Linked DNA regions of Callithrix jacchus. The main gene of each other region encodes a partner of the protein of the gene in region 2 in a complex. Links are inferred from orthologs where the notes say so. Each region holds a gene or a part of one and is shown on either strand. Other genes may lie near its edges.

Region 1 (3,987 bases), on a different chromosome or scaffold from region 2:
GAGGATCATTTGAAGCCAGGAGGTGGAGACTGGCCTGGGTGACACAGCAAGATCCTGCCTTTTCTCTTTTTTTAAAAAAAGATCCTACCTTAAAAAAAAAAAAAAAGAATATATTAAAATCCCAAAAGTTCTATTTAGCAGTTCATACTGAGAGATAGCCTTTTCTTGCTATCCCTTTTACCACTCTGTTTTACAATTAAGAGGCCATCTTAGTGGTCTGGAATTAAACATACTCTGAGGCTTTTTTTTTTTTTTTAAGATACAGGATCTCGTTCTGTTGCCTGGGCTGGAGGGCAGTGCCACAATCATAGCTCACTGCAGCCTCAAACTCCTGGGCTCAAGTAATCCTCCTGCCTCAGCCTACGGAGTAGCTAGGACTACAGGTGTGTGCCACCATGCCTAGTTAATTTTTTTTTTTTTTTTTGGGAGAGACTGGGTTTGACTGTATTGCTCAAGTTGGTCTCGAATTCCTGGCCTCAAGCAATCCTCCATCCTCAGCCTCCTGAATCGCTGGGACTATAGGCATGAGCCACTGCCCCCGACTCACTCTGAGTCTCCTTAATTACAGTCTTACGGAAACCACACAGAAAAAGTGAAGCCGGGACATACTGTCTGCATGAAAACACCCATCCTAGCTCCCCCCGCCACACCTGCCCCAGGTTTCTGAGAAGGTTTTGGCCTGTGGTGGTCACATACCTTGTGATTTGTCACCAACCGGGTGGGAAAAGCCAGGTGGCAAGGAGAGGGTCTCTATGCCCTGAGATGATGAACAGCCAGTGCCTGTTCTGAGCAAGCTGCTACCGTCTCACCAGATGAGCCCGCAGAGGCACTGCCGAGGCCCTGGGCTACGTATGCAGGGAATTTGTAGGGGATCTAGCGAGGATGCCCAGCATCCAGGTCTCAATGTCTAAAAGCCAAATCCCACTTAAGGAGCAGAGTAGGATTAGTGCTCAGACAGTGAACTGGTAGTTTCAGCAGTTCTGGGCATTAAGCAACACCCTCCGCCCCAGTCTCCAGACAGAGGGTCTCACATATGTATGAGTCACCTGGCTCACTTGGGGAAGGTTGGTGGGAGGGCCAACAGCTAAATGAAAGCTACTTTTTCTTCTAAACCTCTTTGGATTCTGGAAATAGACTGATTATCCCTTCATTCCCGGGCTTTGCCAGGACAGGAAGAGATTTGATTAAACTCAGCAGGCAGCTAATGCGACCTTGTGGGTGGGGACTAAACAAAAAGGTCAAGGATAAATGTCAACCTCAAGATGAACCTGGTATTATGCAGGCCAGCTGGATACCGTCCCTCTCCTCCAGCCGGTCCTGCCGATTGATGGCTCAGGAGTCCTGCTGATTTCTTCGGTGTCTCTGGGACCTGTCTGCGTCCTCCATCCCCAGCTTTGCTTCCCCAGACCGCAGTGATTCCCCACTGTCTGACTACATATATTTCTTTCTTTCTTTCTTTCTTTGAGATGGAGTCTTGCTCTATCTCCCAGGTTAGAATGCAGTGGCACGGTCTTGGCTCACTGTAACCTCTGCCTCTGGGGTTCAAGTGATTCTCCAGCCTCAGCCTCTGAGTAACTGGGATTACAGGTGCACACCACTATGCCTGCTAATTTTGTATTTTTAGTAGAGACGGGGTTTCACTATGTTGGTCAGGCTGGTCTTGAACTGACCTCAGGTGATCTGCCTGCCTTGGCTTCCCAAAGTGCTGGGATTACAGGCATGAGCCATCACGCCCAGCTAACTAAATCTGTTTCTACTCTCCAGGCCCTTTTCCACACAGAGGCAGAGAGGCCTTCCGAGCCCCGACCTGTCACCTCCTGCTTAAATCACCCATTGCTCTTAGAATGCAGGCAGAAAGGCTGCAGCCTCTGGAACCTCCGCCTGCCTTCCCTTCCACGTCGTCTGCCATGCTTGCTCCTTCCCACTGTTCTTTTTGCCTGGAACAAGCCTCTCCTCTCTTCACCTTGTTGACCCTTCTTGGCCTTTCAGATTTTGACCAGGAATCATCCCCAACCTCCAGGACCAGATTGGAGGCACACCTGCACTTCACTCTTTTTTTTTTTTTTTTTTGAGACAGAGTCTCACTCTGTGGCCTGGGCTGGAGTGCAGTGGTGTGATCTTGGCTCACTGCTGCCTCCGCCTCCTGGGTTCAAGTGATCCTCCTGCCTCAGCCTCCCGAGTAGCTGGGATTATAGTTGTGCACCACCACGCCCAGCTAATTTTTGTATTTTTAATAGAGATGGGGTTTCATCATGCTGGCCAGGTTGGTCTCGAACTCCTGGCCTCCAAAGTGCTGGGATTACAGGCATAAGCTACTGTGCCTGGCTGGTAGAATTATTCTACAGTCTCTCCTCCCTCACCAGATTCTAGGCTCCAGGAGGGCAGGGCCTATGCCATTTCATTTCTCTCACTTCTGTCTTCATAGTGCCTGGAACAATGCCTGCTCCCAAGAACGCTCAGGGAATGCATGGAGGGCACTCTGTGACCAAGAACACACTTACATGGGGGACTTGAGCTAGGAATGAAACAAGGATATGCGGAAGGCCCGTTCTGAGGTTTGGGGCATCGGCACCCATCCAAACGCTCCAGTGGCTTCCCAGCTAAGTCTGGACAATGCTTGCCAAGTCCGGCGTGCTCCAGCGCCCCCTCCCGTTACCTCCGGCTTTGTTTCTCACCGCTCTCTCCCTCTCCCACTTGGCTTCAGAGTACTGAGTCTGTTTCCTTTTCTTTCGGAGACAGGGTCTCACTCTGTCACCCCAGCTGAAGTGCAGTGGTGCAATCGTAGCTCACTGCAGCCTTGAACTCCTGGGCTCCAGCGCTCCTCCCACCTAAGCCTCTCGAGTAGCTAGGACTACAGGCACATGCCACCACACCTGGCTAATTCTTTAAATCTTTTGTAGAGACGGGGGCTGGTCTCAAACTCCTGACCTCAATTGATCCTCTCACCTGAACCTTCTAAAACGTTGGGGTTACAGACATGAGCCACCACCCCTCGCCTGCTTTTCTGCAAACCTGCCTTTAGGCCTTTCCACCTGCTGCTTCCTCTCCAGGAACACTCTTCCCACAGCAGCCACATGGCTCACTCCTTTGAGTCTTTACCTCAATGTCACCCCATCCTTAGCATACTCGATTGTTGGCCTCACCATACCTAAACTGCAAAACCCCTATTTTAAAACACAATGACTATTCATTGGTGCCAAAGCCATTAGGTGAAGAGTTGATGGGAAAATGACTGCAGGACTGAAGCGATGCCACGTGGATAGCGGTGTCCTCCCAAGGTGCATGGCAGATACCATGGTCAATCTTAGCATTGCCGGTGGTCTCAGCCACACGTGATATGTCCCCTTGGGTTAACCTGAATCCACGAGCCTTTACACATCACTTCTAGTTTATCAGAAATACAAGGAACCAGCTACATGACACAAGAGAGCTGCTGGAGAAATCCAGCAAACAATGCCATAGAAATGGGGTTTACTAGATTAAAAGACACTATGGCACTTGACACCCAGATGTCATGTGCAGCCCGAGATTGAATACACAACTAGCCAAAAAGGATGTGTGGGACATTTTGGGTTCATTGGGAATATCTGACTATGGTAAAATGACTGGAGTGGAAAGGTAAGAGATTGGGACTGAACCCAGCAAGGCTGCAGGATGGCGCTTTGCAAACACACAGAGACTATGCATTTGTGTATACATACATATATGTACATTCATACACACATGCATATACACACAAGCACATTTACACATATACATGTGTGTTCGCATGCATGCTATACCTATGCAAGAATACACCTTAAGCTAACATTGGTGGTCTCTGCGTGGTGGAAATGGTAGGTTTTGCTTAAATTTTCTTGTCTGTAATTTTTCACATTTTCTCCTACAATCATTTGCTGCTCCTATAATAGAAAGGTTAAAATACAAAACCGTATTATATAAGTGAGATGTAGAGGTGCATGCCTGTAATCCCAGCACTCTGGAAGG
Region 2 (4,098 bases):
TGCAACCTCCTCCTCCTGGGTTCAAGGGATTTGCTGCCCTCAGCCTCCTGAGTAGCTAGTATTGTAGGCATGTGCCACCATGCTTGGCTAATTTTTGTATTTTTAGTAGAGACAGGGTTTCATCATGTTGGTCAGGCTGGTCTCGAACTCCTGAACTCGTGATCCACCCGCCTCAGCCTCCCCAAAGTGCTGGGATTGCAGTTATGAGCCACTGTGCCCAGCCAAGGTCAGTTTTAACATCCTCTTTTGCAGATAAGGAAGCTCAGAGAGGTGACAAAACTTGTTTGCTGTTTTGTGGGTCACCTGTGTTTCTATGAACCCAAATTTGGGGTTTTTCCCATTCCCAGGACTATTCGCTCTACCTGTAGCTCCTGGGGACTCTGTGCGGCTTGGCTTTGCCCATTGCTCAATCCAGCCATCCCAGGGTCAGGGATCAGGTGGAAGCTGGCAGTTTCAATCTATCCTGTGGATAAAGAGTTTGAAAGCAACAAAAACCACCACCATTAATACCAACATAGGAGCTGAGCTTTAATGGCCCAATTTGCCTTCATCTCCAGGCAGAGCTGGGTAAAGCTAGAGCTTCTGGCTTTGCTTATATGGAGAAGGGGGAGCAGCTACTGAGGGAGGTCAATTCTGACACCTCAGAGATGTGGCCAGCTTTTTGGAGCAGACTCTCCAGAATGGAGAATGGACTAGCAACTGCTGCAGATGGGCTTGTCTGGCAAGGGAAACTGGAAACTGGGGCTCATGAACATCCCCAGGGAAGGTGGGCCAGGTGGAATATCCCACTCTTTGTTTCTAAGCTCTTCGAGATAAGGATGACGTCAGGGACTCAGCTCTTCATTAAATGTGGACGGGTGAGCATGGCTTCTAAAGACTCCATGCTCTTGATGCTGGGACTCAGGTGCTGGGGCAAAAGGGCAGGTAGCTTCCAGAGGCTGAGAGAAAGGCCTGTCTCTCCATAGGCCACACTGAGAAGGGGAGGCATGGGGTCTGGGGTTCTACCCTAGGGGTGAGACCCCAGGCCCAATCTCACCCTCATTGGGACCTTGGCCTTCACTGCCCCTCTCCCCCAATGTTTTTCAGGTCTGATGACTACATTCTACATTCCTGTGACTGTCCCTGCCTGCAGCTCAACCTCCAGCCCTGGTCTGGCCTCGAGGCCTAACTCATTTTAAATCCGCCCCAAGGCTGGTTGAAACCCCATCCTCTGATGCCCAATCTCAGAATGTTCACTATCAGGAGGTAATGATCATAATTACCTGTTAATAATAATTAACAAGTTACATTAATTGATGTTATTCACAACGTTAACTAGCATCTGTACGGCTTCTTGCTATTTACAAAGTGCTTAAACACACACATGGACACGCACACGCAGCACACGCACATACACACACACACACACACACACACACACACACACACACACACACGCCCCTCATTTGGTCTTCTCAGTAGCTGCAAGTCGGCAGGACCAGAGATGTGGGATTTCCATTTCATAGGGGAAGAAAGTGAGGCCCAGGGAGGGAAGAACAACTGCTCCAAATCATGAGCCAAGTGTGAGCTGCTGCTGCTAAGAGGGTCTGAGAGGACAGATACGTTCTCCCTTCCCATTCATTCCTTCATTCATTCCTCCATTCCTTCCTGCATCCATCTAGCATTTATTAAGCACCTATGTGTGCTCCATTGTGTGCAAGACACTTAGCCCTAAACTGGGACATTTTTCCAGAAAGCAAGATTTCCCTCGTGTTCCTGAAAGATGAGTTGGGAGGAGAAGGGGCACAGATCCCACTGGCCTTGGGGAACCTGGGACTCCAGATCAGTAGGTTTTCGTGGATGTCCCTTCTCAGGCCATCCCGGGTGAGTGAGAAACCTCATTTTTCTCTCATGAATTATTTCTCAAAAAAAAAAAAAAATTAAGGAGCCTATGTGACTTCGTTCATTCTGCACAGTCGCTGCTCCTGGTGGGATGGCTGTGGCTGGGGGAGAGTGTGGGGGATGGGAGACGCCTACGGTCAGCCACAGAGTCCTTGGCAGGTCTTAGGCCGGGGCCACCTGGCTGGTCTCCGTCTTGGACACGGTGGCGGAGGCCTCATCGTCACCCAGTGGGTTCTTGCCGCAGCAGATGGTGGTGAGCATGCAGTTCCGGAACTGAAAGGCAAGAGGCCTGAGTTAGGACCGGGGCTGCCCACAGTGCGCTTGGAACTGGCACGTTGGTGAGGTTTGCCCCAACCCTTTCCCGGCTTGTGCCCCTCACAGTTCCACTCAAATCCGGCCTCCTGGAGGGAACTTGCTAAGCAGACACTCCCCACCCGTAGAGATGCCAGGGACCGAGCAATAGGGGACTGCATCACCCTCAACATTTCATGGTGCCCTCTGCGTGCCAAGGGTGTGCTGCAAATTCTCTCCTGTAATCTGAGAGTTTGGTGTTTTGCCCTTTCTATGGATGAGGAAACCAAGGCCCAGAGAGGGGAACTGACTTGCCCAGCGCCACAAGCTGGAAAATGGCAGAGCTGACTTCAGAGACTGTTTCCCCCCTTCTGGGTTCCTCGGGGAAACCACTTGCTCTTTGTTATGGGACTGCCTTATCCCTTTACCCTTCAGAATAAGATTTTTTAGCTCCTTATTCAGCTTTATGGAGACTGGCCCATCCCATTCTCGGCCTGGGACCTGCTGACGTTGACATCAGGCTTCCAGAACCATCTGGACTGGAGCTTCTGACACCTGAGTGAGGATCCGAGGCACCTGGAGGGCTTGCTGGTGATGCAGGTTCCTGGGCCCACCCTGAGATTCAGCAGGTCTGGGTGGGGTCCAGGAACCTGCATTTCTCACACGCTCCCCATTGACACTGCTGACCCGTGAGCCCCACTGCCAGTAGCCCTGATGGAGCCCCCTCCCCTGCCCTGGCACATAGCTTATCCTTAGCAGGCAGTGCCCGTGGCCTGGGGCACTGGGGCCCTCCCACCCGCAGTAGGCACCTGCTTGTTCATCATGATATAGATGACAGGGTTGTAGATGGCGGCGCTCTTGGCGAAGAACGCTGGGATGGTCATGAAGATGGGACCGAAGTTGGAGCCCTGGTGTGTGAAGATGTAGAATGCCACGCTGGCATAGGGCACCCAGCAGATCAGGAAAGCGATGACCATGATGATGACCATCCGGGTGACCTCCTTCTCCGCCTTCTGTGTGGTGGCCGACTCCTGCTGCTGGGCGGCGGCCTGCAGGGACACGGGACCCGGGTCCAGACCATGGCTCCTCCGAGGAGCAGGAGCTGTAGATGTGCGTTGGGGGCTGGACGCTCAGAGGCCACCCACCCCCAGCCCGTACCTCCTTGACGGTGAAGACAAGCTGCCCATAGCAGAAGAAGATGACAATCATGGGGATGGTGAAGTGGACCACGAACATGTAGATGACAAAGGACTCGTTGTTGACCTCCGGCTTGAGCGTGTAGTAGTCGATTCCACATGAGCACTGCAGGCCCTCAGGGATGTACCTGAGACAGGCAGGTAGGGAGACCTTGCCTGTGAGGGACTTGGGAATGGCCCCGGCCAAGGTGCCTGCCAAGCACTGGCCCTCTCTGGGGCTTCCTGTTCCCTCCCTGGAAAGGGGATCATAAAGGTCTGCGTGGCTGGGTGACAGGATGGACTGCATCCGGTGGGGATGCAGATGCACCTTGTGGAATCAGTGTCGCTTCATTGTTTGGTGGCTGCGGTACCAGATGACATGACCTAGCCTCTCCCTGCGTGCCCTGCCTCAGCATCCGCTGCCTGCTGAGCCTCAGGCTATGCCAGGCAGAGGTTGGTGAGGACGAGGGGAGAGCCCTCAGGCTCTGTATTTGCGGCAGTTTGTACAAACTAGCACCAGGGTGAGAGTATTTTCCAGGCCAAAGACAGACACACAGGGTATCTAAGGGATCTCTGTGCAGCTTCTGGAAACAAGAGGCTCCCAGGGCACATGGTTAGGACGTGGCAATGGTTCCTGATGTTGGTGGCAGTGAAATGGCCTCAGGAAACCCAGAGCGTCCAATGGCTGTGATTCCAGAGGATGGAACTAGGCCAGACTGGAGAAGATGGGGAAAAAGTCCAGGGGGTGGGC

What was found.
Region 1: the proteins of RHO (region 2) and SAG are in contact, whole or in part, in a crystal structure (PDB 4PXF), measured with the Bos taurus proteins. The link is inferred for Callithrix jacchus from reciprocal best matches to the Homo sapiens genes RHO and SAG. Residues at the interface, in NP_001014890.1 of Bos taurus: Arg135, Val138, Val139, Lys141, Leu226, Glu249, Val250, Met253, Met309, Asn310, Lys311, Gln312; in XP_010802144.1 of Bos taurus: Asp71, Ile72, Met75, Gly76, Leu77.

What each region holds. Positions count from the first base shown.
Region 1 is NC_133507.1:154,652,188-154,656,174, reverse strand, and holds the start of SAG (S-arrestin), read right to left. Parts: upstream 2,807-3,987; 5' UTR 2,676-2,806; intron 903-2,675; exon of another isoform or gene 697-902; intron 1-696. UniProt on the Homo sapiens protein: Binds to photoactivated, phosphorylated RHO and terminates RHO signaling via G-proteins by competing with G-proteins for the same binding site on RHO. May play a role in preventing light-dependent degeneration of retinal photoreceptor cells.
Region 2 is NC_133516.1:72,615,961-72,620,058, forward strand, and holds the end of RHO (rhodopsin), read right to left. Parts: intron 3,497-4,098; coding exon 3,331-3,496; intron 3,222-3,330; coding exon 2,982-3,221; intron 2,155-2,981; coding exon 2,044-2,154; 3' UTR 504-2,043; downstream 1-503. UniProt on the Homo sapiens protein: Photoreceptor required for image-forming vision at low light intensity. Required for photoreceptor cell viability after birth.